2 linked regions of the Lonchura striata genome follow. The protein of the gene in region 2 binds, or shares a complex with, the protein of the main gene of each other region. Links are inferred from orthologs where the notes say so. Each region holds a gene or a part of one and is shown on either strand. Other genes may lie near its edges.

The links. Proteins that work in one complex are often made in the same cells at the same time.
Region 1: POLE3 (region 2) and POLE2 share a complex: the UniProt entries of both Homo sapiens proteins name them as parts of the DNA polymerase epsilon complex. The link is inferred for Lonchura striata from reciprocal best matches to the Homo sapiens genes POLE3 and POLE2.

What each region holds. Positions count from the first base shown.
Region 1 is NC_134608.1:1,889,494-1,896,882, forward strand, and holds the start of POLE2 (DNA polymerase epsilon subunit 2), read right to left. Parts: upstream 3,014-7,389; 5' UTR 2,344-3,013; coding exon 2,157-2,343; intron 1,340-2,156; coding exon 1,264-1,339; intron 1-1,263. UniProt on the Homo sapiens protein: Accessory component of the DNA polymerase epsilon complex. Participates in DNA repair and in chromosomal DNA replication.
Region 2 is NC_134624.1:4,748,409-4,755,984, reverse strand, and holds POLE3 (DNA polymerase epsilon subunit 3), read left to right. Parts: upstream 1-4,559; 5' UTR 4,560-4,601; intron 4,602-4,803; exon of another isoform or gene 4,804-4,826; intron 4,827-4,991; 5' UTR 4,992-5,001; coding exon 5,002-5,067; intron 5,068-5,658; coding exon 5,659-5,744; intron 5,745-6,427; coding exon 6,428-6,546; intron 6,547-7,017; coding exon 7,018-7,178; 3' UTR 7,179-7,280; downstream 7,281-7,576. UniProt on the Homo sapiens protein: Accessory component of the DNA polymerase epsilon complex. Participates in DNA repair and in chromosomal DNA replication.

The sequences.
Region 1 (7,389 bases), on a different chromosome or scaffold from region 2:
CCTGCAGCACACCCAACACACAACACCAGCAGCTGAATTCCAGAATTCCAGATTCTCTTCAGGGCCCCCTGGAGGCCCAGCCATGAGAACAAACGCTCCAAGGAGCAGCCTGGTGATGCCTTGTGAAACCTGACCCAGAGCAGAGGCTGGATGGAGTCACAGAATAAAGCAGAGATTTATTAAAGGATCTCCTCCATGGATCCACCTTGGGCAGCACCAGAGCCCAGCCAGGGCTGCACCCAAATGACCCAAAATGGTCCCAAAATGCACGAGCGCTCCCGGGGCTCTCCCTGGGATCAGTTCTGCTCCATTGGCACCTTGGAGTTCATTGTCCCATTCCAGCTCCAGCCCAGGCAGTCCCACCCTGCTTGTTTTTCTCTCTCCAGCCCACGCTGTTTGTGCTCCTGGGCTGAGGTTTGGATCATTTGTCCTTGGTGCCCAGCTGGAGCAGGAATTGTTTTGTGTCCCTGCTCTGTGCACAGAGCTCAGCATCCCCTGATCTGGAGCCCAGACCCACACACTAAAGCAGCACAGAATCTGTAAAATAGAAAAGCTGAAACCTGGGGAATCACCACTTGGTTTTAACCATTTGAAGCATTTCACCCCTAGGATAAAATGGTCTTTACAAACTGCAAAAAATCCCCCACATTTGCTGCAAGCTCAGTTCATCCTTGCACGTGTCAGTGTGTGTTAATAAAGCTTTTTGAACCTGGAAATGTTTGGGGTTTTTTGTATCTCATTCCTTCTGATTATTAATGATTCCTAGAGTAAAGCAGTGACTCTTCTCCAGCACCGAGCTGCTCTTTCCTTTCTTCACTTTTGGGGCTTTTAATACTCAAAGGCTTTTTTAAGGCACATCAGCCAGGATTTGAAGATGTCACAATTATTCCAGCTTTAGCCCAGGCAGTCCCATCCTGCTTGTTTTTCTCTCTCCAGCCCACCCTGTTTGTGCTCTTGGGGCTGAGGTTTGGATAATTTGTCCTTGGTGCCCACCTGGAGCAGGAATTGTTTTGTCTCCCTGCTCTGTGCACAGAGCTCAGCATCCCCTCATGTGAAGCTCAGAACTGCACACTAAAGCAGCACAGAATGTAAAAAAATACAAAAGCCAAAACCTGAGGCATCACTGGTGCAAAGGCAGCAGCAGGAAGGCAAAAGCACAGAGCAATGACTGCAGACAAGGCCTGGCATTCCTTTCCCCAGGAGGAACAAGGAAATGACAGCAGCTCCCAGAAGTTCCCATAAAATTTAATAATGTCACCCTACATGGCCTCATCCGGGGCCCGGCAGCATTCCTGGACAGCTGCTTCCACCAAGGGCTGCTCAATCATGTTGGATGACACTGCAAAGAAAAATCCCAAGGATAAAACCTGCAGCAGGGAAGGAAGCGGGTGCCCAATATTTCACTACATTAAATGGCTGAGTCCCCTTAATGGAATACACACAAATAATTCATGTTTTCTGTAATGACACACAGATGGCTCACTTAATATTGCCACCAAAAGGACAAATTCCTAGGGAAAAAAATACCCTGTGCCCACCCTGAATTCCCCAAACATGGAGAACAAGACAATTACAGTTTATGCAGAGCTGCCAAATATATCACAAATGTGTTTGGTTCCAGAACATTATCACAAGGATTGCTGCCTTAAGTATTCCAACACAATTCTGGAGATGGGCGCATTGTTGTTTTCATTTAATTGAAATTAGTTTGAAGGCCTCCCCACCCTAACAGGTAAGAATTCCTTCAAAATATTCCATCAAAATATTCCTTAAAATATTCCTTCAAAACATTCCATCTAACCCTGCCCTTTGGCAGTGGGAAGCCATTCCCTGTGTCCTGTCCCTCCATGTGTAAATAGTCTGTCTCCACTTTTTATATTTAAAATTACAGTTTCAGGTACAAAGATGTCCAGACAAACTCTTAATGACTGTCACTGAAAAATGCTACTACTCTTGGAAAAGTCAGGATATTCTGCACTGTCAACTGTTTACTTGGCACAAATGTCTTCTGCTGACAAAATAAAAGGCCAAAAAATACATTTATCTCAATCAACCCTTTACACTGCAGTGACACCTCAGTGGCTCTGCTGTAACTGCCTTGATCACATCAGAAATGCCAGGAAAACCGGCTCAAGAAAAAGAAATTGTTTACTTACAAGGCTGTTTTTCAACTGCATCGATGACATTTTCAATTATATCGTCAAGTTCTCCCTCCCTGGTGGACTGGAAAGCTTCAGTGAGATACTTCAGGGCGTCCCTAATCCCAGAGGAGAAAGCACAAAAAGCAATTAATATTCCATAGTTGACACAAACTGTGCTGATTTTGGCAGGTGTGCGCATCATCACCACGTGGCTTGTGGTTAAAAAGCAGAAATAATTAGTTCTGCATAACAGCACGTGGGTTTAAAGTCAAAGAAAAAAATCACTGAGATTGAAAATATCAGGGAAAAGATGTGGAGAACCTCAGCTTCACTTAAAAAATTCCATGTTGGAAGGGAATTCTGAAGACCCTGTGGTCCAACCTTCTCCTGGAAGCAGGGCTTGGGTTATGCTTTCCTGGGCCCTGTGGAGCCAAGCCTTGAGAACTTCCACTGAGGGAGATTCCAGCACTTCCCTACTCCATCAATTTCAAAGTTTAATTACTATTACAATGAAGAATTAAATGTCTCTTGCCCTGTCACTGTGCATCCTTGAGAACACTTCTCACTTTTAGGAAGACTGGGATTAAGTCCTCAGGAATCTTCCCTTCTTGAGGCTAAATAAACCCAAATCCTTCACATCCTCTCCATGCCACGTTCTCTGACCCTCTAATCACAGAATTCCAGAATGGTTTGGCTGGGAAGGGACCTCAAAGCTCATCCCATTCCAACTCCCTGCCTACAACAGGGACACCTTCCACTGTCCCAGGCTGCTCCAAGCCCCAGTGTCCAACCTGGCCTGGGACACTTCCAGGGATGCTGGGACAGCCACAGCAAATCTGGGAATTCCACCCCAGTATCTGGGAATTCTCTGGGAATTCCTTCCCAATCTCCCACCCATCCCTGCCCTCTGGCAGTGGGAGCCATTCTCTGTGTCCTGTCCCTCCATCCCTTGTCCCCAGTCCCTCTCCAGCTCTCCTGGAGCCTCTTCAGGCCCTGCCAGGGGCTCTGAGCTCTCCCTGGAGCTTCTCCTCTCCAGGGGAACATTCCCAGCTCTCCCAGCCCGGCTCCAGAGGGGCTCCAACCCTGGGAGCAGCTCCATGGCCTCTCTGGACTCGCTCCAGCAGCTCCACATCTCTCATTTTGGACTCCAAATCCGTGTGTAGCCCTGAAGCTGGGATGTCACCAGAGCAGCTTCCAGCTCTTCCTGGCCTCCAGCCCAGGACCTCAACAGCTCCCACAGGACCTGCTCCAGTTTATCAATATATTTGAAATAGAAGTTATTTTCATTCTCAATAACACAAGATTTAGAAATCTGGTTTTCCCCTCAGCCTTAGACAAGAGTCTTGCATTAAATATAAAAATTTTCTTATTAATGTCATCTGTTAGCCAACCAAAGTGGCATTTTGGTGATCAGCCTGACCTTCAAAACATCTCAGCTCATGGAACTGTGGTGTCAGGAGTTCTGGACTTGTGCTGCTCTCTAATGAAAGTATCCTAAAGAATCACATTCCAACCACAATAGAAAGATCATTTAATGGATATTAATACACACGAGAAAGAAAGGGAAAGTAAGAGCGATGGGAAACCCAGTCTCTTATAAATCATGACACCTTCCACTGCAAGCAGGAATCCCTTTTAATTGACCTTAGCATCTCTAAATAATACATCCCATTATATTTAGAAATACACCCTTCCTGTCTTTGGAAATGCCATCCCTTCCTCTAGCAAAGAATGCTGAGCACAAGACTGGCAAGTGGAACTCAGATCCCAGAGCTGTCAGGGTCCGGGGCAGACAAAAAAACTCAACCAAACACCCGGCACCAACATCAGGGAGGGCTACAAGGGGAGACCACGGGCAGCTTTTGGTGGCACCCAGGGCCATGAGAGGGATGGGTAAAAGCGGCCTGCATCAGCAGGACAGGCGGATGGCTCTGGAGGAGCCTCCAGAGCTGGATGCGGGGCAAGGAAGAGGTGGGAAAGGCAGCCCCACATCCCGAGGCGGCGGCGCGGGGGATGCGGAGCGGCCCGGCCCCACCGCGCCCCGGCGCTGCCCGGGCCCGAGGCCCGCCCGGGGCCGGTCCGGAGCGGGGCCGGGGCCGGAGCGGGGCCGGGGCCGGGGCCGGAGCGGGGCCGGGGCCGGCGCTACTCACGGGCGCAGGACGAGCCCCCGCAGGCGGAACGCGGAGCTGAGGCGGCGCCGCAGCCGCTCGGGCTCCATGGCGGCGATGGCGCCAAACGCGCCCGGGCCGCCCCCTCAGGCCGGGCCGGCCCCGCCGCGGGAGGAGCCCGGCTCGGCCCCGCTCGGCCCCTGCGGGACCGGCCCGGGGCAGCGATCGTGCCCTGGGCTGGCTCTACGGGGCACCGCCGGTCCTGAGGGCGGCTCCGGGCCCCTCCTGACAGGAGACGTGGAGGGGCTGGAGCGTGTCCAGGGCAGGGAATGGAGCTGGGAAGTGTGATAGATTGAGGAATGTTTTGTCCATTAAAGGGTTAAAAACAGAAAACTAAGGCTCTAAGATCAAGATGAAACTCATATGCAAACATGCTCTTGCTGAATGTCTAATTGCTCAAAAAGCCTTAAGATCCAGGAACTCAAGCATGAGGAAGACCACCCAGCCTTTATCACAGGACCACCGGGAGCAGAATACACCGCCCAGCCTTTATCACAGGACCACCGGGAGCAGAATACACCGCCCAGCCTTTATCACAGGACCACCGGGAGCAGAATACACCGCCCAGCCTTTATCACAGGACCAGCGGGAGCAGAATACACCGCCCAGCCTTTATCACAGGACCACCGGGAGCAGAATACATCGCGCAGCCTTTATCACAGGACCACCGGGAGCAGAATACACCGCCCAGCCTTTATCACAGGACCACCGGGAGCAGAATACATCGCGCAGCCTTTATCACAGGACCACCGGGAGCAGAATACACCGCCCAGCCTTTATCACAGGACCACTGCCAAGCGAAAGGCACAGGCGCAGAGCACAGCTTGAGACACGTCAGCAGGAAACGGAACTGTATAAAAGATGAACTGAAACCTGCTGGGGTTGCGGCAGTTGCGCCCAGGGCTGTTTTTTGCTTTTGCCTTGCTTGCTGTAATTAATAAAATTCCTTGATTCGATCATATTTATCCAAATGTGTGGTCAGATTTATCACAATTTGGTGCCGTGACTCGGATGGGATTGGTACAGTAGGGCACGATTACCGAGGAGGCGCCCCAGCACTGGTGGCCTTGGTGATCGGTCCCTGCCTCGCTCCCACCGACGAACCTAAATTCAAGGCATTAAAGCAAAAGGAGACCGGTCGACCCTATAAACTTTTTGGACAAAGGTCCGGACGAAGACGCAGGAAGCGTGAGTATTAAAAGGGGTCGGGATCCTGGAGTGTGACGAGTGTGGTGTATTAGAGGGGGGCTGGCAGCTCGGACTCCCCAAGTGAGCGCTGTTATGTGTATATCTCATTTATAACAGTGCGGACCCTCAGTAGTGCGGTTCTCATTGCTCTTTCCGTGTCAAACCACGACAGCCACTGACCAGGGGAAGCTGGTTTTTGCGTGGAACGATTGAAGGCACTCCAGAAGATGGGGCAGGGGAAGAGCAAGCCCTCTGTACCTGTAAAACTTCCCCCAGTTCCTGGGGACAGCCCATTGGGGTTTATGATACACAACTGGAGACATTGCCCTGGCACTGGAGATAAAGATAAGGCAAAAATGATTCATTACTGTGTAGAAGTGTGGGGAGGAAACAAATATCACGCAATGTTTATTGGCCCATATTTGGGTCCTCAGAAGATTGGATGAAGCAGGACCTGAACATGTGGGTAAACACCAAAACCCCTTTCAGTCAGGAGGAGAGTGAATATGCAAAAATATGGGTAGAAAGTCCTGGCAGTAGAGTGTTTTTATACCCCTTGAAAGAAAAAATCGCCCGTGGATAACTCCGGGGCAAGAAGAAAGGATAAAAAGAAGGAAGAAATCCCGCTAGTTCCACCCCTGTACGTACCCCCGCCAGACCCAAATGCTCCCCCACCCCCAGATATGTCCTCGGAAGAGGAGGATGAAAATCCCAAATCCTCAAAGCATGAGGGACCGATGACAAGGAGCAGAGCTAGACAGCATAACCTGTAACCATTGAGGGAAATGCCCATGGGAGGGGCACAACCAGGTATTGGGTTTATTTCGGTTCCACTCAGCTCGGGAGATGTACGAGATTTTAAGAAGGAGATGGGGAATTTGTTGGAAGATCCTCTAGGGGTTGCAGAGAGATTAGATCAATTTCTGGGTCCTAACATATACACTTGGGATGAGTTACAGTCGATCATGAACATCTTCTTTACTGCTGAGGAAAAGAATATGATCAGAAATGCGGGAATGCAAATTTGGGATGCACAACATATCCAAGGTCCACAAGCAAATGGCCCCATTTTGTGTCCAGAATTATCAAGGAAGTAATGGCAACAATAGGGATAAAATGGGACTACCATACCCCATGGCACCCTAAAAGCTCGGGAATAGTTGAAAGAATGAATGGGGAAATAAAGAAACAATTGACAAAGCTCATGATAGAAACTAAACTGTCATGGGTAAGGTGTTTACCATTAGCACTTTTGAACATAAGAACCCAACCGAGATCCGACATGGGAATTTCCCTTTTTGAAATGCTATAGGAATGCCTTATAATCTAGAAGAGCCCCAAGACCATCCAAATCTAAGGGACAAAAACATGAACACCTATATTGTTAATTTAATGAAATACAGAAATGAGCTATGGAAAAAGGGATTGATAGCTGAGAGACCTCCACTGGAAATAAGAATACATCAAATGCAACCAGGAGATTGGGTATTAATAAAAACATGGAAAGAGACATCACTAACCCCTCAATGGGAAGGTCCTTATCTTGTATTGCTCACTACAGAAACTGCAGTATGAACAGCCGAGAAAGGATGGACCCATGCCAGCAGAGTTAAAGGACCAGTGGAGAAACCAGTACCCAAGTGGCAAGTGACCAGTTCTCCTGGAGATTTAAAACTGAAAATCCAACGAAAGGACTATTGATGAGTAAATACCAAATTGAGTACTTACCCAACCCATATTACACAGAAGAAGGACTGATTTGTAATAGTGATGTTAGGGTAATAGTGATGTTAGGGTAAGGTGTGGGAACCTTGACTGTAATTGCTGCCCTTTTGTTTGCTATATATGTAAAAGTATGATGGGAAAAGTGGTGGATTCATTGTAGGCGGGGA
Region 2 (7,576 bases):
TCCATGTGGCTGAAAATAGCTCCTGACCTGGTACACAGGATTTGTCCAAGTCTCTGTCTTAGGTCACATAGGAAAGTCCACTCAATCAGCAGAATTTTAGGCTGGCGCTTTTTTGACAGTTAAAACTGCTGAATTCGTTTATGGCTAAAAAAAGAATGCCAGGAAGATATTTTGAAAGTGCTGCCTCGGAGGCCTCCATCAGAGGTGAGCTAAACTTAGAGGGCCTGAGGTAGGAAGAGAAGTGTGTGAGTGACACCTCCAAGGGACAGCTCCATCCTCTGGGGACCAGGCTCCTGCCTGCAGTGCCTGGCCTGTCTTTAGGGGGAGGAAAAATGGAATCATTCCAGGCACCAGCTCTCAGTTAGAGGCCTGATGCCCTTAAAAATTTAGAGATTAAAATGACCAAGTGAAGCTTATTTTTAAAAAGGATGCTGTTGAGTCTTTCACATTCATTCTTCTTCCATGGCCAAAAGGAAAAAAAACTTTAAAAAACAGAGCAATCGTGGACAGTCTCTCAAGGAAATTTAAATTGGTAAGTGCAAACCATCCAACAACAGTTTGGGATGTGTCTCTGTCTTCATCCAACACCAGTTTGAGATGTGTTCCTGCCTTCATCCAACACCAGTTTGGGATGTGTCCCTGTGTCTCATCCCTCATCCAACACCAGTTTGGGATGTGTCCCTGTGTCTCATCCCTCATCCAAAACAGTTTGGGATGTGTCCCTGTGTCTCATCCAGCACCAGTCTGGGATGTGTTCCTGTGTCCTCGCCTCCTGCCTTGTGACCACTGGGTCTCTTGCTGTTTGTTTTGAGTCCCCTGAGCGCTGCCCTGTCCCCTGAGTCACCCAGAGCCGGGTGGATCCGTTCAGCACTAGGAGGGGGAGAGGTGTGAAGTGACTCACGGGGATAGGAACGCACTGAACGCTTCTCAGGCTCAAGACCTCACAGTTAATCCTGCAACCCCACAACATTCAGAGCAGAGCCAGGGAGTGCCCAGAGGGAAGGGTTTGCTGTTCAGAACTCCCCTGTGCACCACGTCCTGGCACACCTCATCCCTGATTCTACAGGAGCTGTTACTGCAACAACAGCCTCTTATTTACAGGACTTGGATGGCACCCATCCAAACAGGGCTTCAAGAGTGCTGGAAAAAATATAGGCGTTCCACAGTGACTGTTCTACATTGGAATAATCTGTATTTTTTGTATTAATATTTTTTTCTTTGGCCATGATGATGCTGAAGTGTCATTTTCACAGAAGTCAAGTGAGATTCAAGCCCCTCTGTACTAACAGTGGGTTCTGAGGAGTACAAACATTGCTGGGTAAGCTCTGTGCCTGCAGATAAACCTTAAATGTCACATTTTTGTGCAATGTTGTGAAAAACAAGCAGGCTAAAGGAGTGCCCACCCTCACTGCAGGCATAAAAATCACAGTGTTCATCTCCTGACTATCAGTACAGAGTCATCAAACAATCACAGAATGTGGAAGGGACCTTAAAGATCCTTTCATTCCATCCCTGCCATGGCAGGGACACCTCCCACTGTCCCAGGCTGCTCCCAGCCCTGTCCAGCCTGGCCTTGGGCACTGCCAGGGATCCAGGGGCAGCCACAGCTGCTCTGGGCACCCTGTGCCAGGGCCTGCCCACCCTGCCAGGGTGCTTTCTTAGTATCTAATTTAAAGCATTTAAATCTAAATCTGTTATAGCCTTTCCCTGAAGTACAGAAGGACCATATTGTCCTATGGTTTTTCTTTCCCTCTCAGGCTGAGCTGAGCTGCTGCTCCTCTGTCACTGTATTTATACCTGTGTACATGGAACAATATTTTTGTTGCAGTGTAAAATGTGACTCGCAGCAGTAAACTTGAGCACTGCATGCTCAACATCTTCCATGTTTTACACACGACAGCGAAACAAGACTAGGAAGCTGATTTAAAATAAAGGCTCTGGATTTACAGGATATAAGGCCAGGATAGCTGCCCCTGGATCCCTGGAAGTGTCCAAGGCCAGGCTGGACAGGGCTTGGAGCAACCTGGGACAGTGGAAGGTGTCCCTGTCCATGGAATGGGCTTTAATGTCCCTTCCTGGGACTCAATGTACCAATCTCCAGACATTGTAATTAAAAACAAACATAGACTCACACCAGGGACCAGGGAGGAGAGCCTGTTGTGTCCAGAAGACACACAGAGCTGGATGGTCCCAGCCCAGGCTTTGCTGCTGAATGGGGCAGCTTTGGGCCATATCCCTGGATTTGGGCAGCCCCATTCCTGGCTCTGCTCCATCCCACCCCTTCTCCAGGCAGTATCACACCACCAACTTGCTTGGTTCTCAATTCATGGACAAGAACACCTCATGCTCTATAACACAGAAGCCAAAATGAGCAGCAGGGGCTCCCAAGGGCTCCAAGAGCTCTGAGCCACCCCCCTGTCCAGGATCCGAGTCTATCATGGTCACTGTCACAGCAGCTCAGCCTGTCATGGTCACTGTCACAGCAGCTCAACCTGTCATGGTCACTGTCACAGCAGTTCAACCTGTCATGGTCACTGTCACAGCAGCTCAACCTGTCATGGTCACTGTCACAGCAGCTAGCCTGCCATGTGTGAATGCCCCCTCCCAATGGCAGCACTGCCACACCTGCCCAGGAACACCCAGCAGCCAGGGTTAACAACAGAGCACATGGAAAGGAGCTAAAACCAAAACTTACACATGATTTGTACAGCAGGGACGGAGTTTATTAATCCAGTCCCTGGAACTGGAACAGGGGCTCACACGGGCCTGGCCCAGGTGTACTCAGGGTGTGCTTCTCCCAGCACAGCACAGTTACCTTCACCTGTGCTCACAAATCTCTGCCCACTCTCCCCACAACAGAAACACTGCCCTTGGTAACAGGAAATTCCCATTTTCCATGGAAAAGAGCCGCACTGTCAATCACTGCTCACAATTTCAAATATCACCACAGCACCTAATTAATGTGCTTTCTTGCACTCTGAGCTTGCTTAATTACCTGGTCAGGTTACCAACAGGGATAAAGTCTCATGGAATTACAGGGTTTAGGCCAGGCATGGAGCCAGTGGGGCAGGGATGGAGAAGCTCACAGCCCTGTGCCCTCACACAGCCACAAGGGAAGAGGCCAGAACCCAGTGTGGGGAAAACAGCTGTTATTTCCTGTTGGAAATTATGTAACTCTCTTAATTGTTTTAATTAATTGCAACCAGTGCCCACATTCAGATAGCACTAGTTAACTTTCTTCACAGGCTCTTACAATTACTTTGATCACTAAATAACCAAAACCTCAGATTTGCTACAAGTAACTCAGCCAAGCTTCAATAAACAAAGCCAAAGGGAGTTGGAGATTGGACATCTGGGATCTTAAATTTATGACCCTTCAAGTGTGTTGGAGTAAGCAAAAAATGCAGAGGAGATTAAGGCATGGAAAGTTGGAGATTCCCTGACTGGGAAAAAGATTATAAAAGTAATAAAGTATGTGGACCAGATTAGTGTGAAGAGTGAGAAATTAACAACCAAGAGCAGATAGAACACTAAGTAATAAAGAGAATTATGTAACCTAGAGCAAATGAACATGAATTGGTTTGCTAAAAATGTACAAATAAGTGAAAAAGTTTTGTATCTGTGTTAGTGCAGATGCTGGAGCTTTGTCAGCTACACACATTCTTGGCTAAGGATACAGAAATGCCTGACTCGCTAAGAGTGTCACACTGCCTTAGAGGGAGCCTTACTGATCCCAAGGGCTTTGGGGGATCTTGGGAACATTCCCAGAGGCAGCAGCTCTGCCCCAGGGCTGCCCCAGCTCCCCCTGTGCCTGGCCCTGCTCGCAGCCCCCAGTAACGGCAGTGTGACCACCTGGACCTACAGGTGAACCTGTCCCTGTGCATTCACCTGAACCTTCACCTACAGCTGAACTTGTACCTGCACCGTCCCCTGCACGTGAATCTGTCCCTGAATCATGCCCTGCACCTGAACCTGTCCCATCACCTGAACCTGTCCCATCACCCACATATGAACCTGTCCCTGCACCATCCCCTGCACCTGAACTTGTCCCATCACTGCACCTGAACCTGTCCCTGCATCATCCCCTGCACCTGAACCTGTCCCTGAAACATCCCCTGCACCTGAACCTGTCCCACCACTTACCAATGAACCTGTCCCTTCACCCACAGATGAATCCGTCCGTGCACCATCCCCTGCACCTGTCCCTGTGCCTTCACCTGAATCTTCATCTATACCTGAACCCATCCCCTCACCTACACCCGAACCCATCCCAGTCCCTTCAGCTACACCTCTCCCTTCACCTACACCTGAACCTGTCCTCACATTATCACCTACACCTGATCCCATCCCCTCACCTACACCCAAACCCATCCCAGTCCCTTCACCTACATCTGTCCCCGTCCCATCACCTGCACTTGTCCCTACACTTGCACCTACACCTATGCATGCATACATACACCTACAGCCACGCCTGCCCTTTTCCCGTTCCTACGCCTGCCTCTTCTCGCTGTCCCTTGCCTGTCCCCGCCGTCCCTCAGGCCGCGCCGCCATTTCCCGCCGCGGTGCGCGCCGGGAGCGGGCGGGGCGGCGAGCGCGGCTGGGTACGGGCGGGCCGGGCGGCTGAGGGGCCGAGGGGGCCCGTGTGCTGAGGGGCCGAGAGGGGCCGAGAGGGGCCGAGGGGGACCGTGAGGGGTCCGTGTGCTGAGGGGCCGAGAGGGGCCGTGAGGGGTCCGTGTGCTGAGGGGTCGTGAGGGGTCCGTGTGCTGAGGGGCCGTGAGGAGTCGTGAGGGATCCGTGTGCTGAGGGGCCGAGAGGGGCCGTGAGGGGTCCGTGTGCTGAGGGGCCGTGAGGAGTCGTGAGGGATCCGTGTGCTGAGGGGCCGTGAGGGGCCCGTGTGCTGAGGGGCCGTGAGGGGTCCGTGTGCTGAGGGATCCCCCGTCCCGCGGGATCCCGCCCAGCCCCGCGCCCCTGACGCCGCGTTTGCCTTGCAGGAGGCCCAGGATGGCGGAGAGACCGGAGGACCTGAACCTGCCCAACGCCGTCATCACCCGCATCATCAAGGAGGCGGTGGGTGCCGGGCCCCGCGGGGCCCCGGCCCGCGGGCTCTGCCCTGCGCTGTCCCGCTCGGGTACCGGGGCTGCAGCGCTCGCTGCAGCTCCCGAGCCATGCAGCTGCACCGCTGCAGCGTCCCGAGCCACGCGGCTGCACCGCTGCAGCTCGGCAGCAGCGCAGTTCCCGCAGTGGCACTGTGAGAACCAGGCCCCCTGAAACTTCAGCACACGAGTCCATGTCTATATAAAAATCCAGAATAATTCGCTGGGGTTGATTGAGCGCGTTTGCTCTGGAGCTGTGAGGGTTGCCGAGTGGATCTGGGCCTGGCGGGCGTGTCTGGAGCTGGGCAGGCACAGGATGAGTTACCTGAGACAGTGGCCAGACCCCAAACGCCGGAGTCATTGGGCTTGTGCTCAGCTCTGTGCCTTCGAGGGACACATTCCTACTGCCCTTGGCTTCCAGCTGGAAGCAGAGCTCCTGCGACAGCACCCCAGAGCAGTTCCCAGTTCTTCTGAGCCCTCTGAGTGTTTTAACAAACTGACACTTCAATTATGGAGTTTAAGTCGTTTTTAGCAGCTGCTGATAAAAGTTGGATTTGTTTTTCAGCTTCCTGAGGGAGTCAATATTTCCAAAGAAGCCCGGAGCGCGATCTCCCGAGCAGCAAGTGTGTTTGTGCTGTATGCAACATCATGGTAAGGACTTGGTGCAGCAGTCACTGGGGCACTTGATTGATAATTCATTTCTGCTGGCCTGGGGACTCTCTCCCAGTGTTGGTTTTCTGTTTTGCCTGTTTATATAAATAAACTAGTCTGCAGCAGGTGGGTTTGGACTGCCCAGAGCAGCCCTTGGGAAGGTAGCTGGGCTCTGGACACAGCCATGTCCCAAAAAAGGGGGGTCCCCAAAAAGAGGGGTCCCAAATTGCCATTAACCTTAGAACGTGGCTGCACAGCCTTCCTGGCAAAGGCAGAGCGCTTGACTCATTTTCAGGCTCTTCATCATGAAGCTGTGTTGGGGCAAGAGCTGCCACAGAGGACACAGTCACGTTTTTGGGGTGGCTTGGCGTATTCTCTGCAGGCAGTCACTCCTCTAGTGTCAGGGGCTTCTATGGAACCCTAGCCCTTCTAGGGCTCTGTGGAACTGTCACAGCCAAGGCTCAGGCTTTCTCCTCCTGCTTGTAGAAAAGGTCTGTGCAGGCAGAAACTAACCCTGTGGGAAAGCACAGACATTGTAAATAAAAATGTCTCAAGCCTCCTTTAGTAAATGGTAAAGAAACCTAAATGTTTAGGGGATGGCTTTTTAAAGTTGCTTATGACTTCAGTAAACAAGATGAAATTGCCAACAGTCCTCAATTACCTCTCTTTTTGGTTCTGCCTAGTGCAAATAACTTTGCCATGAAGGGGAAGAGGAAAACCCTGAATGCTGGGGACGTGCTTTCTGCCATGGAGGAGATGGAGTTCCAGAGATTCGTGGCCCCTCTGAAGGAATCCCTGGAAGGTACTGTGCTCCGTGGGTGTCCAGGGACTCTGAGAGGCACCAAGTCCTGTTCTCCTCCAACGCTGGACAAGCAACACTTATTGCCTGTCTTGTTTCTCTTCTCTTTGCCCAGCATCCTACCTTGCAGTTTGCCTGGGGAGTAACTAATGTGCACCTTAACAGGACTGGGATAACATTCTTGCACAACTGATGAGGATTGAGAAAGTCTCATCTGCTCTCACTCCCCTATTATGTTTATCTAAGGAAAGCCGTAGGTGCTGCCTGTAAATGTGACCTGCGTCCTTTTCAGCATTTTTCTGCTGAAATTTAACCTGATTTCCTATGGAGCTGCTCAGCACAGCTCAGCTCGTAGGGTGAGTTGTGCTCTGAGTTCCCTGCTCCCCTCAAAGCCAGGAGAGCAAGTGGACGTTGGGCCTCAGCCACTGACCTGTCCATGCCAGCGCCAAGCCCTCACTGTTCCCTCTCCTCCAGTTTACAGGCGTGAGCAGAAAGGAAAGAAGGAGGCCAGGAAAGATAAAGACAAGAAGGCAGACTCGGAGGAACAAGATAAGAGCCGAGAGGAGGACAATGATGAGGATGATGAAAGGATGGAGGAGGAAGAACAAAACGATGAGGAAGAGGTGGATAACTGAGCTCGCTCGTGGGCAAGGGCTGGGGTGTGCTCAGAGGGATGTAAACGCTGTAAATCGACCGTGCTGCATCCCCTCGTGTATCCATTAGAGCTTTGTACTGCCCCTCTGTGGCCTGTACTTTGTAAAGGACTCGTGCTGAAGCTTTTTCCGTGGCAGGGTGGCTCCTCCCTGTGCCTGGGGGCCTTTGGCCCTCCCCAGGCTCTGGGCAGGCACTTCCGGGGCTTTTGATGCTGGGCTGGCTCTGAAAGAGAGGAAAAAAGAACTGGTGGGTGCTCAGTGCAGAAACTGGCCAGGAGAAAGACTCCTGATTTTGAGGGGCTGAATGCAGTAGATCATTCAGAGATCACTTCTGGGGTGTAGAATGTAGGTGATGATGTCCAGAGGCTTGGAAGCTGCAC